2 linked regions of the Drosophila melanogaster genome follow. The protein of the gene in region 1 interacts with the protein of each later gene in a pairwise test. Each region holds a gene or a part of one and is shown on either strand. Other genes may lie near its edges. The genes, in order: narya and vilya.

The links.
Region 2: the proteins of narya (region 1) and vilya interact in a two-hybrid assay, tested with the Drosophila melanogaster proteins (2 studies listed by BioGRID).

What each region holds. Positions count from the first base shown.
Region 1 is NC_004354.4:19,466,000-19,483,115, reverse strand, and holds narya (narya), read right to left. Parts: upstream 8,054-17,116; 5' UTR 7,950-8,053; coding exon 7,314-7,949; 3' UTR 7,061-7,313; downstream 1-7,060. Other genes in the region: Naa15-16 (N(alpha)-acetyltransferase 15/16), read right to left, coding at 1-164, 237-664, 731-1,518, 1,610-2,098, 2,438-2,494; mRpS14 (mitochondrial ribosomal protein S14), read left to right, coding at 3,240-3,302, 3,363-3,686; CG32533 (uncharacterized protein), read left to right, coding at 3,859-4,432, 4,493-5,023, 5,078-5,448, 5,511-5,708, 5,777-6,705, 6,774-7,006, 8,351-8,934; kek5 (kekkon 5), read right to left, coding at 13,566-14,809, 16,895-17,116. UniProt on the Drosophila melanogaster protein: Required for the formation of DNA double-strand breaks (DSBs) together with nenya and vilya during the meiotic recombination process. Plays a role in DSBs processing into crossovers.
Region 2 is NC_004354.4:2,724,900-2,736,958, reverse strand, and holds vilya (vilya), read right to left. Parts: upstream 10,282-12,059; 5' UTR 10,253-10,281; coding exon 9,732-10,252; intron 9,668-9,731; coding exon 9,475-9,667; 3' UTR 9,391-9,474; downstream 1-9,390. Other genes in the region: crm (cramped), read left to right, coding at 1-1,122, 1,191-1,563, 1,631-1,782, 1,855-1,956; CG2712 (uncharacterized protein), read right to left, coding at 2,759-3,403, 3,474-3,728, 3,789-4,394; ttm50 (tiny tim 50), read left to right, coding at 4,911-5,169, 5,242-5,425, 5,482-6,010, 6,070-6,193, 6,253-6,443; dwg (deformed wings), read right to left, coding at 7,006-7,962, 8,025-8,414, 8,696-9,127; fs(1)Ya (female sterile (1) young arrest), read right to left, coding at 10,468-12,059. UniProt on the Drosophila melanogaster protein: Required for the formation of DNA double-strand breaks during meiosis together with narya and nenya.

The sequences.
Region 1 (17,116 bases):
CGGAGCATCGGGGTCGGTCTCCTGGTTTGCCTGCTGTTTCGATTTCTGGTGCTGCTCGCGCTTCACCTGCGCCTGTGCGGCCTGCGCACTCTCCAGCTCAGCTTTCTTCTTGGCCTTGCGCTGTTTGCTGCGCAGCTTCTTCAGTTCTGATGGCGGCAGGTTCTCTGTAACGAAGAAAGGCGGTCATACAGCTAACTAGAACGAGCAAGGGAGCTAGTGGGGTAATGTCCACATACCAATGTCAATCTCTTCAATGGTTGTCTCCGACTTAAGCGGCTTGTCGTACAGACGAATGTACACCTCGATGGCGCACTTGGCCGCCTTGAAATAGAATGGATGCTGGCGTAGCACGTCCTCCAATCGCAACAGGCCAACGTAGGCGCGCAGCGTCATTTTACGCATGCAATAGGTGTGGAAATCGAACTGGTCCTCGACGATTTCGGCAAAGTGGCGCTCCACCTCGTGGCACTTCTTCAACGACTCGCCCCAGCGACCCATGCGCTGATAGGCCAGGGCACACTCCGTCTGGAACCACATGCACTGCATCTCGTTCAAGTTGTCCATGGCGGAGACACCCTCGCGAGTGAACTTGGCGCAGATCTCCTCTGCCTCCTGCACCATGTTGGCGCGCAGCATGTACTTCGCGCACTTCGAATTGATGTAGCTGAGGGGAAAACATTGATGGTTACATGGTTCAGCAGGTCTATGCTAGTCCATGGGGCTCACTCACCGATCTGCCGTGTCCATGCTTTGGGCCTCCTCCAGCCAGACGTACGCCTCCACGGGATCGCCAGCATGCTTAAAGATGCGACCCTTGGTGATAAGCAGCTCAATGAGTGTTGGCGTATGGTCGATAGCCACATTGATGTACTCCAGAGCGCGGTCCGTATCGCGCATGTAGTCGTAGTGCTGCGCCAGAAACAGTGCCGTCCACACCAGCGCCGAGGCCGGCTCGACGGGAATTCCGGCGTCGGCATCTTCGCGAGAAAAGTGGCCGGAACGGGTAAGGTTCTCGAAATACTGCAGCGCCAGCTCCTCGATAACGGCCGCCCTCTCCGGTATCTGGTGCAGAGTGCGCACGTTGACAAATAGCGGCGGAATGCCCTTACGCAGACCGCGGCGCAGGTACTCGTCGGTCACGACGCGAAACTCGTCGCCGTTGGCGATGTTCAAAGGCAGGCGGCGAGGGCACAGGGCGCGCGGATACTGCTCCTGGAACACGCGATAGATCGACACCACGGCGCTTGAGTCGGTCACCTGGCGGGCGGCAATGTACTGCTCGTAGTAGAGCACATTCTCCGGATTGCGGCGGATCAGAGACTCAAAGATGGGCACTGCCTTCTCCTGCTGCTGCAGCTTGATGTACAGATCACCCATGGTCTCGCGAACGGCCAGCTTGTCGACGATCTGGCCCTGGTATTTGGTCAGGTGGTCCACGGCCTGCTGCAGACGATTCGACTCGATGAGTATCTGGTTCTGGTAGAGCAGCAGCTCCGAGTGCCGATAATCGTGCGCCTCCTGCCCACGGAGCAGAGACATGGAACAAGAAATACGAGCATTTTATTGAATTGGAATATAAAATTGAATCGGCAGGCAGCTGGATACATACAATCGACGTTTGCGACTGGCTGAACGTCTCCAGGATGCTGTTGGCCATGTCGTAGTCACCCAGCAGATGGTAGCTCATGGCGAAACCGATCCAGGAGGCGTGCTGCGAGGGACGCAGCGTGAACAGGTGGTGGCGCGTCTCCTTGTAGCCCTCGAGGTCGCGCATTTGGATCTGGAGAAGCGACAGGTCCTTCAGGATCTGCAGGTTATCCTTCTCCCACTTGAGCGCGTTGCGGTAGCACTTGATGGCCTCATCGTACTTCTTGTCGCTGCGCTGGAGCAGTCCGTAGACGTGCCAGCAAACGTGGGAGCGCAGGTCGTTTCGCAGACCCAGACGCACATACTTGTAGGCCTCCTCGCGGCGCCCCAGTCCGTTCAGAGTAAGCCCCTTCATGGCCAGCGTCTCGCCGTGCTCCATGTACTTGGGGTTGGACAGGATCTGCTTGGCCAGTTTAAGGCCATTTTTGTACTGCTTCAGTTCGTAGCATTTCTGTTTGATAAGAAAGCACAGAGAAGAAAGGTTTTAGTCAAAGTTTCTCGCATCCCGCGCAGCGCGAATTTTGAGGTTATGAGACCAGCGGGCCGACCACAAACGTCGGCGGTTGAGCAGAGCTGTGCAATCGCCCGCTGAAGCCACACATCTCGAGCAGCGGAGGCATCGCCTCCGGATTGCTTCTGCCAAAAATAGGCACTCTCCACCTGACTTCGGCTAAAAAGCACATGGATGCCGAAGCCGGCCAAAGGCACGAACAAAGGGAGGGGGCGGCACAGTTGTGGTATTAAGGGAAGGGGAAGGTATGGGACAGTAGGGTCACCTAGACCGGCTTACAAGTAGCTTGCGGAAGAGCGCGCCCTCCTTGGGCGGCAGGGGATCGCTAGAAGGCATCTCTGCAAGGCTGCGGCTGCTCCTCTCTTCGGCCTGCTGCTTCTTCTGCTTGGTCGTTCTTGTTCTTCCTCAGCTGCTGACTGGGACTGGGTTTTCGCCTGGCCGTGAATTGCACCGGACTGCGGGATCTGTGGATCAGCGAGCTGAGCTGAGTTGCGATGCCTCTTCTGCTGCTGCTCGGAAGCGGAGCTGGACTCGATTGGCAGTCTATACGGAGTAGACACACCACACACACAAGGCGAAAACGGCGAACGGCAAACTGCGGGCACGAGCAAATTTCTAAATCGACGTGAGACGACCACACACACCCACACTGGCAAGCTCGACTGTGCACATGCACGCACTGGCGCACGCACACTGGCACACGTGTTCACGCGCTTCGCGGCGAATGGTAACAGCAATTGTACGCCACTGCGAATGGGTGTGAACGCGCTCGTTTTGAATCGCGCTGCTAGGCGGTTATGTAAAGCGAGTGAATTGTTAATTAAAACTTATTCCGAGAGGTCGAAAGTCAGCCGGCTTTCCATGTTTTAACCTTATAGATTCCACACCGCATGCTTCGCCATCGTATTTTTCATTTAAATTACCCAGTTCTCGTATACGAAAATAATAGGCAATAAATTTGCAATTCACTGTATGGGCTCATCAGCTGTTGCCTATCGATAGTCCCGCGCGTTAATAACCGACACTATAGCGAACAAAGTAAAGAGGCAAAAAGAAGAAGAGCACCACCGAAAGCAACAACATGAATTCTCTGGCCAGGATCGGGGGTTTTGTGTGCCAGTCCGTGCAAATAGCCGGCTGCGGGGTAAGTTAACATCGTACTCCTAGCTAAGCGAACATAATATCCAGCCCATTGTCTTAACAGCTGCAGCAGGTGCGCACAAAGTATGCCGATTGGAAGATGATTCGCGACGTAAAGCGGCGCAAGTGCGTCAAGGAGAACGCCGTGGAGCGGCTGCGAGTCAACTCGCTGCGCAAGAACGACATCCTGCCGCCGGAGCTACGCGAGGTAGCCGACGCCGAGATCGCTGCTTTTCCTCGGGACTCATCGCTCGTCCGGGTGAGGGAACGCTGCGCGCTTACGTCACGTCCGCGCGGAGTTGTCCACAAGTACAGGCTCAGTCGAATCGTGTGGCGCCACCTCGCCGACTACAATAAGCTGTCCGGCGTCCAGCGCGCCATGTGGTAGCATCTTCTGTTAGCAATCTAGGGAAATAAACCTTGTTAGTAGTCATCCACATTCCAGAATTGTGTTATCGGCTTGGGTTCTTGCACAGCTGACCGTTTATCGGTAGCAGTGTTATCGTTTGCTGTGGGAAGAAGTAAATACAAATTTTAGGAACTATTTTGCTTCGGTGAAAATGTCTCGGATAAAGAAGAAGGCAGATGAACATGCCTCCAGCCGCCGCAGGACTCAGATCAATCTGATCGAGTTCAGTTTCTTGGATCACAAGGCGGAGCTCGTGGGCCTGCTGCAGGCCAAGAGCCGCCAGGTAGGCAGGAGTCTGGTGGAGAACGAGGCTGACTTCTGGAAGTTCGTGGGCAAGTACGAGGCTATGATGCGCTCCACGGGCCAGCCCGTGCTGCCGCCTCGACTCGCGGAGGCGGAGCTGAGCAGCATGCAGCCGTATCACCGCAGCAAGCACTTGGCATTGCGGCTGGACGCTGACGAACTGCTTCAGGAGGCGCGCGACCAAATGCAGTCCCAGTTTCGTCATATCTTGCTGGTGTACTTAGACTTCCGCCAGACGGAAAAGTTCCAGCGTATCCGAAAGCTGCGGCAGACACAACGCAATCTACCCATTGCTCGCTTCCGGAAGGACTTGCGCGAGGCACTGGACACGTCCCGCGTGGTCATCGTGGCCGGTGACACTGGCTGCGGCAAGTCCACACAGGTGCCCCAGTATCTCTATGACTTTGGCTACCGCAGCATTGGTGAGTATGCGGCTTCCCATTGAGGCTGCCTTACCAATGATCGACCTTTTGTTGCCCTAGCTTGCACCCAGCCGCGCCGTTTGGCCTGCGTCTCCCTGTGCAAGCGCGTTGCGCACGAGCTGCTGGACGACTACGGCAGTCGGGTGGCATTCCAGATCCGATTCGAGCGCAGTCGGACGAAGCTCACCAACATCCTTTTCATTACGGAGGGCTTGTTGCTGCGGCAACTAGCGGTGGCCGCCAACCTAGACCAGTACGATGCCCTGATTTTGGACGAAATCCACGAGCGCAACTTATTCGGTGACTTTCTACTGGGTGTTACCAAGTGCTTACTGAGGGCGCGGCCGCAACTGAAGCTGATACTCATGTCTGCCACCATCAACGTGGAGCTCTTCCACGGCTACTTCGGCGAGGAGGGCGCACGGCTGGTCCAGGTGCCGGGACGTTTATTTCCCATCAAACTGCGCTATCTGCCGCCTCCTGCACTGGAACTAAAGGCGGGACAGGCGACATCCAAACGCTCTCAGAGAAACCGCATCGATCCAGCTCCATTTGTCCAGGTGCTTAGCCTTATTGACCAGCAGTATCCGAGTGAGTTTAGTTATCATGTTCTTGTAGGGATCGCCTAATAATCATCTTACCTAGCCAGCGAGCGCGGTGACGTCCTTATCTTCGTTAGCGGCGTAAACGAAATCGAATCTGTTGTGGAGGCCGTTCACGAGTATGCCACCGAACAGACTCATTGGCTCGTCCTGCCGCTGCACAGTGGCCAGGCGATCGCGGACCAGAGCAAGGTGTTTGACTACGCACCCGAGGGCATGCGCAAGTGCATTGTGTCCACCAACATAGCCGAAACGTCGCTCACCGTGGACGGCGTGCGGTTCGTGGTCGACTCTGGCAAGGTCAAGGAGATGAACTTCGACGCAACCTGCAAGGGCCAGCGTCTGAAAGAGTTCTGGGTGTCCAAGTCGTCTGCGGATCAGCGCAAGGGTCGTGCTGGTCGCACGGGACCAGGTGTAAGCTAGAACCTAACCCACGGTTGCTCCATTTCTCATACATTCCCACTTTCCGAGCGCAGGTCTGTTTTCGGCTCTACACTGCGGAGCAATACAACGCCTTCGAGGCATATCCCACTCCGGAAATTTACCGCGTGCCGCTCGACACGATGCTGCTGCAGATGGTGTCCATGGGATTGCCCGACGTCCGGGCCTTTCCATTCATAGAGGCCCCGGAAACGGAGCGCATCGAGCAGACTATTCTGGCGCTAAAGCAACACGTGAGCATTTCACCGATACCCAACTGTGTAGACCCCAATTCAACCGGACTTCTAATCTCTAATTGCAGTGCGCCCTCAGCGTGGAGGAAAAGATCACACCGCTGGGCAGATCGCTGGCCAACTTGCCCGTAGAGCTGTCCATCGGCAAGATGCTGCTTATGGGCAGCGTGTTTCCCGAGGTGGAGCAGCTGCTGACCCTGGCCGCCATGCTGAGCGTGCAGAACCCGCTGACGAATCGTGCCCACACAGACCAGCGCTGCGTGCGCGAGCGGGAGTCTCTGGAGTCCGATCATGGCGACCTCTTCACCCTGGTGCGACTCTACAACGTGTGGGTGCAGCTGAAGATGCGGCGCGATGGCACTCGACAGTGGTGCCGTCGCTTGGGCATCGAGGAGCAGCGCTTCTATGAGGTGACCAAGCTGCGTCAACAGTTCCAGCGCATCCTCGAGAGCTGCGGCATGGTGGTGGCCAGCGATTCGGACTCCCAGTTGACCAGTGCCGAGCGCGCAACGCGACATGGTGAGCTGCGCCAGCTGAAAGCCATGAAGCGCCGCCAGCGATTTGAGCAACCCCGTCAGCGCAAGTTGCTCAAGCAGAGCGCTGGACGGGTAGCGGAGGACGAGGAGGAGCAGGAGGAGGCGCAGGGCGACGATATGAGGGACGTGGACTTCCGGCTGCGGTTCGATCCTCGACAGTTGGCGCTGCTGGAGCGTTCGTCGCGGCTCGACCGACACAGCGTCGTTGTGCTGCTAAAGCTGCTGCTCGGCAGCGGTTTCTATCCACAGCTGGCCATCAGCGACGAGTTCAACTACTGCAAGGGTGGTGGTCAGCAGTTCTTCCACACGCGGCTCAAGCCCTTCGTGCTGCAGCACCCAAACTCGCAATTCGCCAAGCACTTCGAGCTGCTTAAGCTGACCGAAAGCGATCTGCTGCCCAAGCCAGACTTCTACACGCCCAAGCTTCCGCTCAGCAAGCGCCACCAGTTGCTCTGTTACCAGTGAGTGCGTGCGTCTGTACGAAATTGCAGCGCCATACTAATCCCCAAAAAACTACGTACTACAACAGGTCGCTGCTGGAGACCGCCAAGCCCTATCTGATTAACTGCATCCGCCTGCCGGCTGCCCAGACGCTATTGCTCTTCAGCTTCGCCATTGACACGAACGCGGGCATCACACAGATCGCCTGCGACGGCTGGCTGGGACTGGATCTGCCCATGCCCGGCAGCGGTATGGAGCTTTTAAGACGGGCCATCGAGTTGCGCCGACGTTGGAGCAGACTGCTTTACGACAAGCTGGATGGTGAGTGCTCCCCAGATTGGTTGGAATTATTAAAACTACTAGGGGGATTTTTGAGTTTTGTAAGCTAAAGTAGATTGTTATATTTCCGTTTATGGTTATCATATCCCGCACATGAGTAGTGGAACGTCTCGATTTGAATAGTAATAGTAATAGAATACGGATGATAATTAGTACCTTAAGCGCAACTTAATAATCTATCTGGTTCTTTATATTGGGAATCTTCTGGAAGGTCAAAACCTAATTGAATCGTTAGAAGTGGTTATAGTCTTAGAATTCCTATAAAAAATTATACAAGTAATTGGAGTGACTAAAGACGAAAGCCTTTAGTGTCGCTGCCAAAAGATCTTCTCCGCGTTGACTGGGTATCCAAGTCCGCGGACCGGCGGGAGCTATCAGAAGGCATATCCGACGGCGATTTGTCCGAAGTGCTGATAGAGGTGTTCCAGGCCTCCTTGAACTCCGGCGTATGGAATCTCTCACCTGCACTGTGCCGGCGCCTCGTCATCCTCTGCGCATTCTCGTGGTAAGCGATGTAGGTGCGCAATTCAGCGATTCGCTTCTTTTCCTCCACGACCTTCTGGTTCAGCTGCGCCTCCATCTTGCAAAAGCCCTCCAGCTGGCGCTTGTTTTGCTCCAGCTGCTGCAACTGACGGTAGAAACCCAGGTTGTCCGATGCTCGCTGGTCCGCTTGGAACTTGGAGATCTTGCGGTAGATCTGCTGGAATCGCAGGGGATCCGCGAAGTAGTTGGCCACGCTAGTTGGCATATCCCGGTTGATCTGGATCGCTTTGAGCACCTGGCCGCATAGCGGGCAGTTCTTTTCTAGCGAGGATTGGCCCAAACAGGGGCCGCAGATCACGTGCCGGCACTGGGTCAAGTGGAAGGGCACGGCTGGATCAGTTTTGCGATGACGGAAACACTTGTTGCAATGCACTCGAAACATAGTGACCAATATATGTTTTTTTCCTCGCCTTGCAAGTTTTCTTCTTAAACAATTGTGATTTAGATATCCGAATGGGGCTAACGGATCTTACCTCAGCGGTCTGGCCACTCTGCCGGGTGAGAACACTCTCGCCTTGCAATCTGTTCACCACACCTTTCCTGCAAGTGGTGTATTCAGGTTCAAAGATTTTTCACCATAATATTTTAAAGCAGTTATTATTGTAACAATCAAATGATGGGAACGACATATGCTTAAAAACGTTTTTTTTTTTAGGTATTTACATATACAATTGTCGATATTTGAACTGTTCAGTTATAGAAAATGCTTGTTGTTCTTGGCATTCTTAGTAAATGGAGCTTAGTTATCTAATACGTATGTACTTAATGCTGTCCAATTTGCAGACCTCAAAAGCAAACAGGAATCACCTTCCCATTCAAGTGACGATAGGAGCAGCGCGCTGTGGCAAGATCTTGTGGACTATATGGCGCTGGATGTGGCGTATGCGATACGCCGACTGCTTCCCGCCGACATCAAGAGGCTCTACACTCATCAGGCACCTTCCGCGCGACTCGCGGAGCTCAAGGAGAACCCCTTTGCCGTCGACTTTCCCATGACACCGAACGAGGAAAAGGGCGGCCTCAACGTATCGGAGCACGTGGTGTACAGCTGCTTGGCCGAACAGCAGTGGACGACGGCCATGGATGCGACTCTACGGGCAGAGCCATGGCAGTGTACGCGCTGCGATTTCGAGCTGGAGGAGTTCGATGTGCTGGAGCAGCTGGTGCACCGATCCAAATGCAAGCGTCGCAAGGCGCAGGAAAGCCGCACGGCGAAAACAACGAGCACAGAGTCCTCAACGGAGGTAGCCAGTAGCTCCAGTTCGCACTCCTCCGGCGGCTATTACTGCAACTCCTGCAAGAGGGAGTTGCGACTGACAACGATCGACATTCTGCGCCACAAAAAGCAGTGTCGAAATAACAAGTAATCGTCTGAATAAACGTATTTAATTATAAAAAAAAAAACATATTTAATTTAACATATTGAAAAATTGCTAAACAAATTAACTTTTGGCCTGTCCCCTTTGGAAATCAACAAAAATGTTATGAAAAACATTTGCTTTCTTTAATTGAGGGACCCTTCAGCCATGTTACAATGAAAAAAAAAAAACGCACTGAAAAATGTTGGGCGGAAATCTGTATTCGGATTTCCCACCAAAAATATTTCGTTTTTGGGCCAAAACAATGGAATTTTTAATTAAAATCAATTATGCCCCGTTCAATTGGCATTGAAGCCGCCGGGAAATTTCCATTTTAATCAAATTGTTGAAAGAATGAATTTATAGAATAAATTATCGGATACGAAATATGGGATTTGATAACTACGTATGCCTGTTAGTTAGCCAGCTACACAATAGGTCGTCGTTGCTCAAGCTGCGCTGCTTATTTTAACTGAATATTGCAATATGTAAAATTGTCAAGTGTCCAGCTTTCAATTTGCCACTGACAACAGAGCTGGGTGAATTCCTCACAAGGATTTAGTTTTTATCTCGCACAATTTTGTAGCTTACAAAATAGTTTTTAGCTTAGGATGATGACAAAAAGGGATTTAGAGATTTGTATTGGATCTGCACCTTAATGCGGCGCTCCTTTCGACCGTGCTGTGTTGTCCTAATCTCGGGACACAGAAGCTACGCTTGTTTATGAAAAGGTCTTTGCCTGTCAAGCTGTCCAATTTTCAGATATAGTTGTGCGCTTCCTCGGCAGGGCAGCAGCTCCTTCTGCCTCGCCCGACTGTCTACTTCTTTGCAACTACATTGTTGCTACTGTCGAGTTTTGTGCTCAGCTTGCTTGTCCGCTTTTTCGCAAGAAAAAAAGTAGGATGGACGGCGTGTGTCCCGACTGCGGGATACCCATTGCTAACATGTTACAAATTGTATTGTGTACGTATGTAAATGGGCCAAGCACTAAGCACAAACAATCCAATGCGAAAATCTACTAAAATGTGTTGCGTTTTTTTTTGTTTCTTTTTCAATAAATATCTAGTTATGTTTTATGGGATACCCTCGGCTGATTCGTTACATAATGCATTGCCTACTTAAGTGGGACAACGCAAGCAATCAAATGCTTTGAAATGCGTTGTGATTTTCAAATAAATATCCATTAAATGCCTCGGAAAACAGTAGACAATGCTCTAGTTGGCGTGGTGTCCCAGAAGTCCTCGTTCACTTGGCGAAGGATACTTGCTTGTTCCGGAGACCTAGATTTTCCGTGTAACATGGCTACAGCGACATTCCCGTTAATGCTGGTCAATTATATACATTCGTGCTGCACATTTCAGCTGAAAAACAGCATGCTCTTTGCCGATACAAGTAAATGGAAGAATAAAAAACTTTTCGGCAACATTTTGTGATGTCTTACAAAAAAGTGTTGCATGCTTTCGGGCGTGTGCAGCATGCTGTCCTTTTACACACAAACTCGCACTAAGATCCGGATCTTACAGGCGAAGACCTTAAGAAGAATTTCGGGGGCTCCTTGGTATATGAGAACAAGAGACATCGAACGCGACCTCAAGGTGCCCAAATTAGGAGACAAGCTCCAGAACATCGCCCAAAAATATATGGAAAGGCTTAATGTACACCCCAACAGCCTAGCAAGGAAGCTAGGAACTGCAGCTGTGGTCAATGCTGACCCTCGGACTAGAGCCAAAAGAAGACTCAAGCGACACCACCCTCATGACCTCCCTAACCTGGTTTTGACCTAGAAAGTCTTAGTTTTAAAATTCATTAGAATAATCAAATAAATAATAATTACTATGTTATATCAACTATTATAATTCTCCCTAACATTTTTAGGATTAAAAATCTGTTAGTCTTAAGTAACCAAGACACATTGTAAAATAAAATAATTTAAGCAGATCAAATTAAGTTGCCGCATGGGTAACAGTGCGTTGATCAAATAATAAAAACATCATCGTAAAAAAAAACACACAAACTCGCACACACAGACACTGGCTTGTTTAAAAGTTGATTTCAATATAAGTTTTATGTTGCGTAATATTGAAAAAAAAAGGGCGACAGCACCCTGGCGGGCATTAACTTTTTAAATTTTCTATCATGAATCGAAGTGCTTCGATTAGGCGAACAGCTGTCGACATTTGTACACTGCAGAAAATAGTTGTTTGGTTGTTGTGGCTAAAAAGGAAGTCCCAGTTCGAGTAAATAACAAACACCTGGTTGGTTGGATTCCTTTTATTCATAGTTTATTTTAATATTTTATATGTTAGGCAAATTATGCAAAATTATAAAAAAAAACGTATATATAAGAACCCTTCTATCAATTACAGTTAGATTACAATTTATAATTATAATTGTTTTGATTTTGAGCTAATTTGAACAAATTGTTCGCAACGTTACAATATTTTTTTTTTTTTTTTGCTGTATTTATATTTGTTTCTGTTTCTGGTTTTTCAAAATGCCTGCATATAAGAGCTTTGAATTTCTGAGATATTTATTACAATCATGTTGCGTTTGTCCAAATTCGAAAGCAAACTCTACAAATAATTACTTTGTAAATACACACAAAAAAAAAAATAAAAAACGAGCACGATAAAAAATGTAAGGTAACTTATGATTTACGTAATACTTTTGCTTATTTAAAACCAAGTATGGGTCGGATGTTTACACTCGTAGTTTCGTTGATTCGCCTAGTAAATCCGCATCAAGTAACGATTTTCTAGGGGCAAGGTTGGGGCTGTACTTTACACGTCTCTATATATATATATATATATATGTATACCTATTGAAAGCACTGGCTCTTAACTCTCGGATCTTTTTCAGGCCTGCCCTTTTTTAATTTTTATTTAGAGTGTCGTTCTCTATTTCCACCTGCTCCTCCCTTCCCCACAAGCTCAAAAATAAATTAGTTTGGCAGAGCCTGAGAGTGCATTTTTATTAAATAAAAACGCATCTGCATGGAGATCGCCAGTGCGCTGCAGGAAACTAATTGTATATAGTGTAAAATTGTTATAAATAATGATAAGAAAATGCAGAGTGATTGGGGGAAATATCGTACAGCATGGCAAAGAATGGTCTGGACTGGACTCAACTAGTAGCTAGCTAGTAGCTGGCATTCAATGTTACCCATTGGACTCAACGACACTTTGTGGGTATATTCGTACTGATGTATTGCGAATGATTGCTGCTGATTTGGATGCTTAGTTTGGCTAATAAACGAGTCGGCTGAGGGTAATTTGAGGGAGTGTTTTTTTTGTTTTTTTGCCTATAAATCTTCGTTTCTTCTCAGCGGTAATGGGAGATTGGGTGTATATTTAGTCCTAGAATGTCATACGTGAGTCCATGTACATACAATTTATTTAATATATCTTTATAACTAGTACAATCGTAATTATAGCTGCGCGTCCTCCTCTAGACTATATGTATACATAGAAGTTTCAATTCATTGTTTTAATTGCGAAATGCAAACTCTTTATCCTACCGCTAAACGCACTTAACAAACTTACCCGCTATAAATATACTTTCATGTAGTTTAATTCCCGAATCGCGTGGTGGCTTTCGTAAACTAAAAAAAAAAAATTAAGGATGCAAGTGGTTGCTTACGCTAATATAAGTATATATCATTAATATATATATATATGCATATATATATATATATTTATATATATGTATCTATGTACTATATATGTATGTAGCCTAATGCGATTAACTGTATGCCTTTACATGTACAATTTTAAAAAATTTGGAAAAAAAGTGAGTGTTTTATTCCTCTTCATTGCGCTTGAATAAACTGTCGTTGATTTGAAAGTTCTTTATGTATACTTGTTCATAATAGGATACTTGTTCTTCTAGGGTTCATATAAGTTTAAAATTCTGTGTGTGTGTGTATGTATGCGTTGGTGTATATATATATATATATATGTCTCTCTATATACGAATAATGCATTTTGTACCGAACTAGCTATAGTCTACACAAAAAAAGGTGGTTTTAAAATTGGGTTTTACGTATATCCGCCTATACGAATTTGGGATTTGATGCTCCTAAAAGCGACTTTATCGCCCTATACGGATTTGTATGTCTGTCTATTTGTTTTTTTTTTTTTTTTCTTTTTTCATCCAACTCGCCGAAGATTACATATTTCCCGTCGCATTTTCCAGACCAGAAGAAGAACTGGTGTGTTGCATGTTCATCGATTTAATTACTAAAACCTACATCAGTCGTTTGGCACACAAGTCACGCAGTGGCGTGAACCACGGAACAGAATCCTTCCGCCGGCTATTTTTACAAGCCGCAACAGGGGATGTGTTGACGTTCATGTTGATGTTGATGTTGATGTTGTATTCTGTTGTCGACTGGGGGGCTGCATCCCACATCCCATACGCGCAATAAAGTTATCAGCATCAGCTTCAGCCCGCCATGGATTCCCCATTCCTCATCATCCAACTGGATCCGCATCTGCTGCTGCTCGCTGTCGGCAACGACATCACAATGCATCCCATCCCATCATATTCTATTCCATTCCATTCCATCGCATGCATTGCATCGCTACATTGCATCACATCGCCAGCTGCCGGCGATGGCGGAGATCGCCGTGGGTGCCAAACTAGACCTCGGTGCCATCCTCGCCCTCGTCGTCGAAGAGCTGGCTGGTGCTGCCCTGGCCGCTGCGCGTCGTCGTCACGGACATCTTCTTCTTGGGCTTCGGTGGTGGGCGTGGTGGGATCTTGGCGGCCTTCGGAGAGTCACCGCTGCTGCTGGCGTGGCTTGGCGATACGGCGGCACCCGAGCCGGGTGAAAGGTAGGCGGCGTGGCCCAGTCCGGCACCGCTAATGCTCGAGCCGGGCAGTATCGTGATCCCCTGTTGCCGAACTCCGTACAGGGGTTCCGTGTCCATGGAGCCCAGTCGCTGCTGCTGCTGCTGTTGTTGTTGTTGCAACTGCTGTTGCTGCTGAATCAGCTCGTGTATGGGCTCGTAAATCTTACTGGCATTGGTCGCCGAGGACACCGATGTCAGGCTGGGCGTGGCCGGAAGTGGTCGGTCCCGCATCGAGTACTGCTGACCAGCGCCCCCCTGTGAGCCGGCGATCTTGGTCAGATTGAGGGTGGAGTTGCCGCCGGCAGTGGTTCGCAATCCCAAGTTGTCGTACACTGGCTCCGCCTGCAGTTCCGCGGTGGTGGCGGTGCCAGTCTCGCTGGGATTCGGCGATGTGGGGCTCTGGAATTCACTTAGCTGAATGGATCCGTGGCCAGCGGCACCGGAAGTACTGGGCGCCCAGCTGGGAGCGCGCGGCTTGCGCGGAATGGTCATATATCCCTGTTTCATGACCACACCCGTGGCCGGCGAATAGACGACGGGTGCGGGCAGGAAGGGCGATGTGGTGGCCAGCGGATGTTGCTGCTGCTGCTGCTGTTGTTGTTGCTGCTGGTGGTGGTGGTGGTGCTGCTGCTGCTGCTGCAGCTGATGGTGGTGCTGGTGCTGGCGACTGCTGTTGGTGGTGGCAATGAGCGCCAGGTTGCGCGACTTGGGATGCTGCAGCGTCATAAAGCCGTTATGCGGAGCCGTCATCGTCTTGGTGCCGTAGATGCCGTGCGGCGTCATATGCGTGTAGACCGGACTGGTTAGCGACGGTGGCGAACGGATGCCGTAGATCACCTGGTCGGGTATGTTCGACTGCGACGATTGCATCGAGGGCGAGGTGGGCGGCACGCGAGCGGGAAAGGCCAGCAGATCCGGTGGCAAGCTATTGGCATACGCATCATCCACGTAGGTGTGTCGAGATCGGGGCGTGGTCGTCGTATCCGACATGGCCACTGAGACGGCTTCTTCGTCGCGCGAGTGATTGGCCACTGGAATGGAGAAGAAGATGTTGGAGCATATTACTAAATGTCTGCATGGCTGACTATTCCATTAACGAGAGTTAAGATCTGTATTAAGTCCTACTCGACTTCTATTGGTCACCAACTTAATCCCACTCCTCTATGGAGCTCCTGTTGAATAAGGCACATTTCACTATGCAATTACATTTCGATCGAATATACATAATCCCAGGAGCTGTGTTGCGTGAACAGAAAAGGCGGGATTAATTCTGTTTGATTTTTCTACTACGCTTTGACGTATTCGAGGGATTTTCAGTAGTTATGTGCCGCACCAAAGCCCTCTGTGGCTTTTAATCCGGCATCCGCGTCCGTTGCAAATAGTTTTGATAGCCATTTCTTTTGAAAAATAATGATTCTTGGGTAATCCCCTCGCCCGTGGAAGCGGAGCACATGAGCACACTTGGCACATGTCACTGCTCGTTTGGCCAATCCGGACGAGAAACTTTGGGCATAAGTGACACACGAGTGCTGTTCACCCCAGTTCAGCTCATTCCAGTCCTGCCCCTGCCCCTGCCCCTGCCCATGTCCATGTCCAGTTCGGTTCAGTTCATCAATTGCGTTCAATTGTCTTTCCCACTGTCGGTGCAATCCACATTTCAACAGTTTCTTTCAATATTCTTTTAAATATATAATATAGACCATACTATTTATGTACTAAATGTATTCAGATTATTACTTTAATATATGCAAGCTGCTAAAGGGAATCGTGGGGAAACTATAGTCCTTTGGCCTACTTAACGTATAATACTAAGCCAAGTATTTCTAGCTACTTATCTCATCATAAAGACTTCGAATCAGTTTCAAGTCATCACATTTATATTGTATGATGACTGATGGGTAGCGCGAATGACGATCGAATGAACTGCGAGATTAGCTAATAGATTCATCACGAATCCGCGTGATTTACGATTCCAATTTAGTTTGACAGCCTCGCTTAATATTGCCATGTATGTATGTATGTATGTATGTATGGTATGTAGGTGCGCTGCTGGGTGTGTTTGTTTGCCAAACATTGTTGGTTTTTCTGCGTTTCCTGCTCGCCCTAATAGTTGATGAGCAAATTGGAAAATTTCAACAAACAAACGATGGGCCTGCCCGAGCCCCAGGAGAACGGGGCCAGGATAACCATTTGGGAACCCAGGGCAAATGAAATTTCGGTGTTTTGCCTTTTGCGCGAAAATACAAGTGTGTTTGCATTGCCAGCAGCATTTGGCATGGTGGTCATTCCGTCGACAAACGTCCTGGAGTGCCAACCAGATGGAAACTCTGGCTAAATAGAGATAGATGGACAACACTCCATGTTGACAGGAGACTTTCGCATCATTTGCTGCTCAACGATGCTCAGCCATGATGATGACGTGGCGATGATAAGCCATCTAGCTTGTTATTAAATCGCAGAATTACTAATCAATTCGCTATGATTGTCAACTAATCCCTTCAAGGAGCATGAGATACTCCACTCCGTTGCTCATTTTTTGTTTGTTTTTAACTTTGTCATGTTATTTATTAACATTACACGGCAATTTGCCTGTTTTTCTGCTCAACGACATAATGGCAATAATATGATTTTTATCGCACAAAAGCCAGGACATAATCACAATTGCTGATTGAAACACCTGGCGAGAAGCGAATGCATTAGGTGTGGAAAAAAAAAAAATAGTTGGAAATGGACCCACACTTTGAATTTAGTGGCTGGCCACTTAAATGCGCTGTTTTTACAAATAATAAACATTAATGACGAAATAAAACATGCAATCATGACCTGGCATGTGTGTGGTTAACATTTTGTCTGGCAATAAAAACTTAAATCCTTCACATTTTCGCGCTTAAATATATTAGTAAATATATAGCATTTGAATGTGCAAATGCATTTCAATATTAAAATAGAGTTTGTTTAGTTAGCCATAATTAAAAAAAAATAGCCTCTCATTCTATTTTATCTTTCGAAATCGCACTGCGTTAGAAAAAAAAAAAAAAACAGCCTGCGTTTTTCCACCCAATTATGCCAGTTTATACAGTATATATAACATCCTTGGCACCTCTGCGACTACTCACCATAGACGGTGTCGTCGAGCAGCGTCTTCTTGATCTCGAGCACGTCATCGCCACCATCCACGCTCTCGATGTCCGTGCGCCGTGGCGGCTTCTCGACTGGATTGACCTCGTTGAGCAGGCTCTTCTGCATCTCCATGATGACGGAACCCTCGAGCATGGAGCCGTTGTGCGTCTTGTCCATCTTGGAAGAGATCAGCCCGTCGCCGCTCATCATGGTGGTGT
Region 2 (12,059 bases), about 17 Mb from region 1:
GGCATGTCGGTGGCGGCCAACAAGCGACTACGAACGGAAAGCGGCTCCGAGAAGCGTTCGCCGGAGACAAAGAAACCCAAATCGAGTGCCAGCCCGCCGCTGGAGAAGAGTTTGGACGACGGGCCCTTGGAGGGCAATCTGATGAAGATGGAGAATAGCAGCGGTGATGAGCTGGGCGAGGAGATTCATGAGTTTCTGGGCGATATATTGGAGGCCATGCAGCATCCGCAAGCAGCCACTATTCCAGCTCTTTCGGCCACCACTGGTGATACCACAACTGTTGCTGTTGCGCTTGAAACATCGCACGATCCTGTACAACAGGCTTATCCGGCCAACGCGGATCTATCTAATGCCATGGCGACATCTGTTCTACAAACTTCCTGTGCTGCAGCTCCCGCTCCTTCGACTCCTGTAACCGGTTCTTTGGCGGCTCCATCCGTAGCCCGCTCCAAACGCAAAGAAGCTAAGGAGGCGGCGGCCGCGGCACAGGCTCGAAATTTTAAGCCACTGCTCAGCGACGATATACTGAAGAGAATCCGCAAGGGCTGGACGCAGGCGAATGCGGCGGATATAACCATCGGTGATCTGTATGTCGTTTTTGGCCAGGATTCCAAGCTGGAGCTGGAGTATTATTGGTGTGAGGTCGACAGTTCGACGGCCATGGCATCCAGCATACTAACAATCAACACGGTAACGCCTAGCTCCTCGTCGGTGGCCACCCAAACCGGCAGCGCCGCCTCGAACGCCAACCAAACAGGCGCATCTTCCAACTGCTACGTCAGCGCATCGAGCAATTCGAGCACCTCGAGCACTTCGCTGCCCTACAATCCCAACGACTGTGATAGCGTGGAACGCGTCAGGGCCGTCACCACATCGTCGGTGAGCAACAAGCTGAAGCACCTGCTACTCGTGGCCAATCTCAGCGAGCGCGTGCGCAAGCGCCAATGCAACTGCGGCCACACGTGCGATCGCAAGCGGGACCTGATGACCAAGGCGCAGCAGCTGGCAGAGGCGACGGCCACCGGCGGAGTGGGCGGCATGGTTGAGGGCAATTTCCGAACGCCGATGCTGCCAGTGCGGCGGCCGATATCCAACATCGATCCTGTGCGCCAACTCTCAGCGGTAAGTGGTCTTTCCTTATTGGCGTTACCCAAATCCCAATTGATTTGCATTCATTGCGTGCATTCTAGCTCACACGGCAAAAGATCAGTCGTCAGGTGCTTGTGCAGCGCCGTCTCCTACCACCCACATCCGCTGGCGATCGTCCGTACGATCTGCTGAGTGTGCGCCAACTCCACAGTGGCCTTTTCGAGCCGATTGATCGCGTGGATGGCATAAGTTCCGCTGGCATCAGCACCTCTGGCTCGAAACCCGATTCCAGCATGAATGCCACGACCGCTTCACAGGATCAAGAGCCAGGGGATCAGGGGGCATTGGAGTTCCTCAACGACGAGGCCACGCAGGTCAGCGCTCGAGACATGCCCAATCTGGACATTTGCGTGGCCACCAACAGGACGGACGTCAGCAGTTCCCTGAACGAGGCGGCCCAAGACGGGAGCACAAGTAGGAGCATCAGCATGTTTTCGCTTTTCATTTTTGTATAAATTTTATATTATCTTCTTCGCGGCAGCTCAAAGCTTCTTCCAAGGCAGCATGAGTCCGATGCACTTGCTCAGAGATTCAACATCCAACGCACGCTGGCTGGAGGACAATATCAATGACTTCTCGTTGACGTCGCTGCTGGGGCATTTGGATGAGATTGATGCCACCAGGGATATACTGGTAAGCCAGAACGCATGCCACACTCCCCACTTGCGACATTCATTGTGGACCGACCTCTAACCTAATCCACAGGATCCGTCGTCAAGCATGTCGGTGATCAGCGAGAGCAGCGTGGACTTTCGGCACAAGTTCCAGGAAATCGCCGCCCTGCTGCAGCAGCAGGAGAAAGATTAGCAGTGGCCACTGCGGCAATCCGGTCGTGTCCTCTTCGTTTGTGTACCCAAGTCCGGATCTTGAGATGAGAGTCGTCCAAGCTGGACGATGGAAAGGAAAGCCACGTGTGCCTCCAAGCCTCATGTCCCACTGATATTACTCATTACTCACTCATCCCACCCACCCACGTTATACCCACTAACATTTATGTTTTTACGCGACTTTTTGTGATCTATACTCATTTTATGTATGCCAAGTATTAGCAAGCACTCACATTGTCTGAACATATATATTTATTTATACATTAACTTTATGTATCGCGCGGCAGCGTAACGCGTAGCTCCCAATCCACACTTTTAATTCCCAGCCCCATTTTGTTTGTTACCCGCTCGCACACTCGTTCCGCACTACTCTAATTGGTTTCTAGCGCGTAAGTTCAATGCAGCATAGTAGCTTAGCTTAAGGTCCCCACACCCGCACCCGCACCCTCACCCTTAGCCACTATCAACTACAAAACCCAATCGAAACTTCCATATGTATAGAGATTCTCCCGCCTCCACCTGATAAACTAAAGCTCATTACATTAAATCAAATCGAAAGGATCGTCAGAAGACTCGAAATGTTTGTTGACCATATATAATATATATGTATGTATGAAACACGCATTATTTTGGGTGGGAAAACCAATCAAATTTATCCTAACAATAGGAACACACTTAAAACTTGTTATTGTGCGAAGGAAAGTACCGAAAATAAAAGCGAATTGAACTAAAACTAAATGTCCCGATTTGTACATTAAGCCGATAGTATAAGCGATCTAGCTTCAGGTCTCCACATTCTCGTCCTGCTCCTCCAGTTGGACACCCACTTCATGCTCGGCCCGCCTCCGCTGTCTGCCCGCCTTGTGCGACTGGCGATGGATGGCGAGTGAGATGCGGCGCTTGAAGGACTTGCCGCACTGCTCACAGCCGAACGGTCGCTCGCTGCTGTGGACGAGCATGTGGCGGTTGAGCTCGGATGTGCTGCCGAAGCTGCGCTTCTGGCACACCGGGCACGGGTGGGGCTTCTCCTGGCTGTGGCAGCGCTTGTGGGCAATCAGATTGCTCGAGTAGCGGAAGCGACGGCCGCAAATGTCGCAGCCGTGCGGCTTCTCGCCCGTGTGGGTGAGCATGTGCTTCTTGTAGCCCGACTTCTGTGTTAGCCTCTTGCCGCAGATGCTGCACTCGAATGGCTTGATTCCGCTGTGGATTAGAAGGTGTGTGCGCAGCGAGGACGCCTGCCGGTAGACCTTGAAGCAGGTGGGGCACCTGTTCGGATTGTTACGATCGTGCAGCGTGACATGGCCGTCGCGGGCGTTTCGCGTCTTAAAGGACTCTCCGCAGATTGTGCAAACGTAGGGCGTGGCCGTGCCATGTAGCTGCATATGGTACTTGAAGGAGTTGTTGGTGCTTAGTTGCTTGCCACAGATCTAAAGGAATGGAGGGAGAATTGATGACCTTCGGCTTTGAGTTATTTGCGAGCTGCGATGACCAACTTACTTTACACTGTAGGGAGGGATTGAGGGGTTTCCAAGGCCGGCTTCCACTGGGCAAAGTTTTCTGCGTCGCCGAAGTCTGTGCTGATTTCTCCACAATCTCGTAGACATCTTCGCCAGCTTTGGCCTGCAAAACGGGCTCCACTTGGAGGCACTCTTCAATGCAGTGGTCGTTGTCTTCTTGGCGAATTTTTGGCTGGCCATGTAGCCTCATGTGGTACTGAAAGGTCCGCTTCCTAGCCAGTTGTTTGCCGCAAATCTGCCGAAGATGGGAAACTATTTCGTGATTACTTACTTCTAATTCGGAAAGGCAACTCACGGGACATTGCAGCGCTGGCTCGGATCTTTCTAACCTGCTCCTACGTTGCTCCGGATCCGGATCGTCGACAATCTCGCAGAGATCGTCTTCGTGCTGTTCCAGTGCAATATCCAGCCTCTCCTCCTGTACAATTGGCGCTTCCAGCCGGCTCTCCGCCTCATCTGATTCTACGACCAGGAGTTGCTCCTCATCTCGTATCGTTTCTGCTGGATATTCAGTCACTTCCTGGTCATCGAGCACGAGTACAAAATCCTCCGGAATCTCGGTTGACAGCCTGGCCCTAGTATTCACCGCGCTGATCTTTTTGCTGCGGCAAAAGTCCGCATGACTCTGCCGCAGAATTCTGTCCATGCGATGGACACTCCGCTTGAATTCCAGCGAGAGCCGCAACTTGGCCACGCAGTCCGGGCAGATGTGGTGGGGCAGGAAGAGCTCCGCCTCTAGGATCTCCAGACCGCTGCAGTAGCTTAAAATGCTGGCCAGCGTCGCTGGTTTGCCGGAAATTGGATCGTCGAGCGGTTTGAAGAGCGGCAGGCAGCGCGGCGATGCTGTGTGGCACACGCGGCACAAGGCGTCCATGGGGGACGGCGGCGACATGGTCGTCATGGATTGAACTCGACAGTAGATAATACACGTTTAAATAAATAACTTAATTTAGCGTCCCGAACAGTGATGCCAAAGTCCAGCTGATGCGTTAGTGGTGGCACTCAAAATAGCTAGCCAGGCACATCAGCTTGGAAGTGACCAGAGGCACAGTGGCTTGGTGGTTGGTCAAAGGTTGTGTATTTCCATATTATTTAAAATATTTTAATTTAAAATTTTCTTAATACTGTGATTAGTCAGATTGCCGGAGGCAACATATGTACACACGCAGTTATCTGCAAAATCCCGCCAGATTTGGCTTGAAAATCGCCGATCTATACCTGCTGAGAGCCACGTGCTAAATGTACTAACGCCTGGTGCCGCCTGGCAGTGGACAGTATATAAAATCCCTAACGCCAACGCCGTGCCGGTGGGAAGTTGAAATTTTTGTTGGAATTTTTTATAAGTAAAAAGTCGCTGCCATCCGAGCAGGACTCGTGAACGGCTCTAGGACTCGATATCGGGAAGGAAGGGGGAAGCATGAGCATGAGCATGGCACCGGCCACCGTCCTCCAGTTGCTGCGCGGCCTTAGCACGCCGCGTCTTCTTACCCACATCCACCAGCACCGCGCATTGGGTAATCACTACCACCACTACCACCAACACTACCAGCACCAGCACCACCTCCTCCACCACCAGCAGCAGTACCTCCGACTATTCACTTGCACAGCACTGCCAGCGGCTGCTCCGGCGCTCTTCTCGATCCTGCACACAGCGCGTGGCTACAGCAGCACAACCAGTAAGTGATTCACGGTAGAGTCCTAAACAGTAGAGTCCTAAACATTCATCCTTGGCCACTTTCGTTTCGCAGAGCAGGAAGCTGGAGCCACTGGCCCCAATGATGCGCCCGAGGTCGCACCGAATGCCCCGCTGCTGGCCAAGCTCTTTCCTCAGACCTCGCCGGAGGTGGACAGCAACGCCGAGCAGGAGCGCAAGAAGCGCGAGGAGGAGGAGGAAAAGGAGAACGAGCGTGCCTGGAAGCGCATGAAGCTGGGGTAAGCTGACGCCCATTCAATGCGTAACAGTATTATAACAATACTTCCTGCTGCAGCTTTGCAATATTCGGAGGCAGCGCCGTGGCTGCTGGATTCTGGGCCGTCTACGAGTTCGGCAAGCCCGAGGTGGACCCCAACGGGCAGCCCATCGAGGACGAGTTCACACACAAGCCGCTGGTACAGCAGTATCTGCAGCGGATGTGGAAGAGCATTCACTACTATCAGCGCATGATCCAGGAGCCGTCGCGCGCCAAACTGCTGCCCGATCCGCTCAAGCCGCCGTACGTGCAGCCGCGCTACACGCTTGTGCTGGAGATGAAGGACGTGCTGGTGCATCCGGACTGGACTTACCAAACTGGCTGGCGCTTCAAGAAGCGTCCCGGCGTCGACCACTTTCTGGCCGAGTGCGCCAAGGACTTTGAAATTGTCGTCTTCACCGCCGAACAGGGCATGACCGTGTTCCCCATCCTGGATGCCCTCGATCCCAACGGCTACATTATGTACCGCCTGGTCAGGGATGCCACGCACTTTGTGGACGGCCATCATGTGAAGAACCTGGACAACCTTAATCGCGACCTCAAGAAGGCAAGTCATGCACAACGTATTTTCTATTGCAATCATCTATAAAGAAGGGAGTATTTTAGGTGATTGTTGTGGACTGGGATGCGAATGCCACCAAGATGCATCCGGACAACACATTCGGCTTGGCCCGCTGGCATGGCAACGACGATGATGGCCAACTGCTGGACCTTATCGCTTTCCTAAAGAGTAAGTTGCGCCACAAGTGACATTGAAAGCTAAACACTGACCCTTGCAATTCGCTACAGTAATTGCGCAGAACAACGTGGACGACGTGCGCGAGGTGCTCCACTACTATCGCCAGTTCGACGATCCCATCAACCAGTTCCGGGAGAACCAGCGCAAGCTGGCCGAACAAATGCTGGAGGCGGAACGCATCGAGCAGTCCAAGACCAAGCCAATGGTCAAACAGTGGTCGCGCAACATTCTCGGCCGCTAGGAGGCTGGCCATACCGCACAACCCGTTCCATACGCATACCTTAACCTTCCGCCTGCGCCGGAGCAACAAACACGCCCTGCAGCAGCACACTGGCCATATTTTTCGTCGACTTTTGGAGTAGTTAGTGGGAAGCAGTAGCAGACAGCAGACAGCAGGATTGGGAGGCACGCTCTGTCTTTTGCTCCTTTGGGAAAAGACGAGGCGCATGTTTTTGTTTTATTGAATAACTAAACTTGCTTGTTTTTGTTTTTTGGCAATTTAATCGTAATATTATTATTATAAAGAGACGACTTAACCGTAAAACCAAAAACAAGACATCCATGTGTTTCGTTACGAAAGTGGAGAACTTGCTGTGCGTTATCTAATCACAATTGATGGATAAGAGTGGCTAAACCTGCTGAGATAGTTATCGTGAAAACAAAATTATTTTTATGTATGTAAAAAATAAGTGTCGAATTTTCTTTCAGTTTTTTCTGGAACAAAAATCAGTTTTATTGAACTAAGTGTCTAATCCTTAGCCTAGGCTTACATTCTAGAGCCGCTCCCACGGCTTGGTGGCCGCTCACAGCACCATCACCACTTTGGAGGTGGACACCGGCTGCTCATGAACTTCGGTTATGTGAAGGTTGGTTGCCGATCCACCGGTCGCACCTCCACCGGTCGGACTTCCACCTGTCGCACCTCCGCCTGTCGCACCTTCTGCGCCCGCTTGTCGGCTGGGAGGATTGATGGACTGAACAGCAACGGTGGCCGTCACCGGCGACTCCTTGTTGTGGACGCGCATATGACTGGCCAGTCGCTTCTTTGTGGGAAAGGCCTTAACGCAGACCTCGCACTTAAACGGCTTTTCGCCGGAATGGAGGCGAACATGGGCATTGAGGTTGCTGGTAAAGGTGAAGGCATGCCCGCAAACATCACACTTGTGCGCCTTGACGCCACTGTGGACCATCATGTGCTTCTTGTAGCCCGACTTCTGAGACAGTCCCACGCCGCAGATCTCGCAGGTGAAAGCCTTCTTGCCGGTGTGGCTTATCTTGTGCTGGCGCAGCGAGGACGAATCGTAGTAGGCCTTGTCGCACAGATCGCAGGCGTATGGTCGCTCGCCCGTGTGCGTGAGCTTGTGGCGCCGCAGATGATCGAACGCCGCATATCCGCGGCCGCACTGATCGCAGTTGTAGGGTTTCTTCTCCGCATGAGTTCTCTTGTGCACTGCCAGACTGGAGGTGGTACGATAGAAGCGGCCGCATATGCTGCACTGGTGCGGCTTGACATTTGTGTGTGTCAGCATGTGTTCCTTGTAGTTGCGTAGGTGCTTCAGACGCTTGCCACACTCCTCGCACTCGTATTGCTTCTCGTCCACGTGGGAGCGCATGTGCTGGTTGAGACGGCACTGCTGGCGGAACGCCTTCTGGCACACGGTGCACACGTACGGCAGCGCCTCGCCAGCGGTCGGCGGCGCTGAGTCCAGCGACTCCTCCAGGAAGTCCTCATCTTCGCAGACATCCTCCGCCTCCGGCAGCTGTGTGTAGGTGAATGGAGGATAAATGGTATTCTAGTGCAATATAATTTGACCTTTCTCACCAGATGCTCCTCGCGCCCATCCCCCTCCAATTCGAGGGTCTCCTCGCCGATGACCTCGTCAATGGCTCCCTCGGCGGGTATCACAATCATCTGACAGTCCAGTATGGCGTCGTGGGCGCCGGAGTCGTTCATCACCTCGAACTCATCCTCCTCCGTGACGATCGTTTCGAACTCATTCTTAATGGTCACATACTCCACTTCGGCGGGCTGAAACTCATGCACGCTCTCCATAGTGATGTGTTCCTCCTGCTGGTCGCCCGACTGTGCCAGCTGGTGCTCCTCCTCCGACAGCTCGTCATCCTGATCCACCTCCTCGGTGAGAAACTCCTCCTCCTCATCCACGGTCATCGCGAAGATGCGACGATCCTCCTCTGCTAGTTCTTCATCCAACTGCGGATGAAGAAGGTGTTATGGTTTTACTTTGGAGTTAGACTTGATGAAGCCCATCTCCTATTTAGACGTAGTGTCACCAAGAGCAGACAAGTTATCCATTGTATGGAGGTACAGGTTGCACTCCTTTGGCACCGACCTACCCTACTACATCCCAAAGAGCCACAATATAAGTGAATCGATTTGAGTGACTGGTGCCCGCTGTGAGCAATCGTTAATCCTCTATGGGAGTGGACAAGAACCATTGCATTCCATTGCACCGTGAAGTGATAGATACTTACATTGGCGACGTTCTCCTGCTCCTCGTTGAGCATCTCGATCATGACGTACTCCTCGGTGGAGTCGAACGCCTGCTGTTGCTGGTCGTGCTGCTGGCTCTGGTTGGGGCTATGAGTCTGACTCTCGTGAAAGCTGGAGCAGCGCGCCTCGTCCAGGCCCAGGCGGAGCAGCTCGTCCGAATCGATGACCATGCGCTTGAAGTTGAACGCCTGTTCCAGCAGCTGCAGGCAGTGGAGGCAGATGTGCTGCGGCATGGCGGCGCCGTCTTGCGGCTCGAACGAGAGTCCCGTGCAGTAGTTTAGCATGCTGGCCAGCGTGGTGCTGCCCTCCGAACCCAGATCGATCTCCTCCTGCAGCGGCTTGTGCAGCTTGCAGGCACGCGTGCACGTCCGGCAGTTGAGCACCACTACCTCGGCGATCTTGCTATTCATCATGATGTCCTTATCCGCTTTCCCCTGTGGTTCTTGTCGGACAGCGCCGGATTTGCCGCTTTTATGACGTTTCGCTCTTCTACTTCTTGCAATTCAATTTTTATGCGTTTTTAGAGCAGATGCTTATGCGATATTATCGGTGCAGCAGTCATCGATGGATTTCGATTAATCGAATTCACTTTCAACACTTCTGTTATCCTAACGAAACTGTTAATTGAAACTTAACGGTCGCTGTTAACTTAGCAGTTTATTATTTTAAAGCTTATGACACCATTTTATTGTTTTAAGCTGATTATTTACAAAAAATATATACTCGGTTGTAAAACAGAGCTTTACCTATCAGCACTAGCTCACAGATCGAACGAGTTGTTCGGCGGGTGTATGAAGCTGGTGATTTGCTGCCGCTTTGCTGATTCCGTTGATCGGCGTCGACTGGAGGACTGTGTGGCTGTTCCACGGCCACGAGGACGTCCGCGCGCCGAGCGTTGGGCGGATGACGAGGATTGCGAAGTCAGCGAGCGGCTTCGGTAGGCCTGGGCCATCCTAAGGCGGGTAGAAATATAATGCATTAATGGGAACTATTTTCAATGGAATCCAAATGTCGCACCGATGCATTTCCGCCTTCCGATTGGCGACTTCCGCCTTAATGTAGCGCGACCTCTGCATCAGCTTCTTGCGCTCCACGCGCAGCATCTGCGCCTCCAGGAAGCGTTTCTGGCACACGGACTTGGCCACCTCGATGTCCTTGAACAGCTTATCCATCTCCAGTTCCTTCCTCTCCTTGTACTTGTCGAAGTGCCGATGATTGCCGCGCTGGAACGTCTCCACAAAGTCGTTGCCGATGGTGAAGGGCTCCGGATGGAAGAGCTGCTTGAAGTGGTTGGGCATCGAGTTGGTCAACTGGCGGCCGCGCACGCTCCGCCGACAGGTGGAGCATTCGAATATGGGCGCGTCGCTGGGCGTGCGGCCGGCGGAGACCTTGACGCACCGCTCGCAGAACACGTGATGGCAGGCGAGCAGGAAGAAGGTGTGCTTCTTATCGCAGAACAGGGCGCAGCAGCTGTTGCAGTGGATCCACAGCTTGGACGCCTCCGGCTCGACAGTCTGACCTGCTTGTGATTTCGCCATGGGCGCTCCGTTAAGCTTTTCGATCTTGTGCGCAACTAATTAATAACAGAATCAATAGATAGAGTTGGCAGCTCTGAATGAGACGAGCTAAGCTCCTGGACCTGCCAACTCCTGCTGCGCATAACGGTTAATGCAAGACCAAACATTTATTAAACGATAAAAAAAAAGAAGAATTTCACAATTAAAACACAGATTCGCAGGCAAAAGCTTAAAACCTACTGGCGACGCATGCGCTCGATGGGCTCCCTGGGCCGGATGCGGTAGCGCTTCGAGGAGCTGGACGGCGACAGCGGGCTACAGTACTGGCTGTCCAGCGTCTGAGTGCGCTTTCTCTTGAGGCACTGCTGGTCCTCCATGGAGGAGTCCCTTGCACTGGGGCGCACCAGGGATCCAGCGATGGAGGCGCAGCGACGGATGAGTGAGCCCGAACCAGCGTTCTCCTTATCCGAATCCCTGTCCCTGTCCCTGTCCTTTTCGCGTTCGCCGCGCAAGCTGGCCGGCAGTCGCATCATGGAACTCATCAGCGACCACAGGCGACCGGAGTTGGGCGCCTCCAGCTTTTTGTCGTTGCACGTGGAGGCGTTTGTGGGGCGGAACACCTCGTCCTCCTCTTCTGCGTCCACGACCTCCGGCTCGCCCACATCCTGCACGCCGCTATAGACCCTCTGCTGACGGCATTCCCGCAACGGAGGACGCACCCTGGGTTGCTGCAATGGCGGCGAGATCAGGGCCATCACCGCCAGCCCCTTCTCCTTCGGCTTATCCTTCTTGGGCGAAAACTCGCCGCTCAGCTGGCGCGGCACAATCGCCTGGCGATGACGACGCTCTGGAATTTCCGGCGTTCCCGGTTCCGGCGTGAAAAACTGGTCCTTGGTTTCATCGCCCTCGCCATTCGATCGCATCTGTTGGCTGCTCTTGGGCGGCGTCTCGAACTTGATCTGCTTCTTGTTGATGCCGGCACCGGTGACACGGATGGGCGTTATGGCCGGCACGTGGCACACTTCCGCTGATTCCGAGGTGGAGCGTATGATCTCGACGCTCTCGCATGAGTTGTACACCGTGGAAGAGGTCTTCTGTGAGCTGGAGTTCGTCCGCGTGATGATGATCGACTCGGTGGTGAGTTTCTGTGCGGACAGCAAGAACTGCCGCTTGCATAGATCGGCATTCCGCGAGGTGCTGTAGCTGGAGCTGCTGCCGCTGTTGACCTCCGAGGCGCTGGACTCGCTCTGGGTGCGCCGCATAGCTGGCGAGAGTCGCAGGTCCAGAGCGGACGAGCCTGCTGCCTCGTGCGAACTGTGCTCGCTGAGATCGAGGCGCACGCGACGTTGCACCACTGCGGATGGTGGCTGGTGGACCATCATGCCGCCGTGCTCGACGAAGGCCTTCTGAATGCTCTTGGACATGACCTGGCGCAGCGGCGTTGCGGCGCTCATCTTGTTGCGGGCGCCCATTTTCCAGGCGCGCTGCTGCAACGGCTGCTGCTGCTGCTGCTGCTGCTGGACGGGATTGCTTTCGGGTGTCGGACTGGGCTCCTCGTGGTAGATGCTGGACACGTGGCCGCCAGTGGAAGCATTGAAGGTAATCGGCTCCTTGGGCTTGGCGAACACGGACTCCACGTGCAGTGGTGTGGACGTCGAGCGTATGACCTTGCCCTTCTCCATCGTTTCGGACGGATTCACGCCCAGTTGGCCAATGGAGCGACGAATGGAGCTGTTGCTGAACGACGACAGGTTGCGTATGGAGGAGACGCTGTCGCTGATGAACTCCTCGTGGGTGACACGGCTCTTGGCCTTCCAGCGCATGTTGA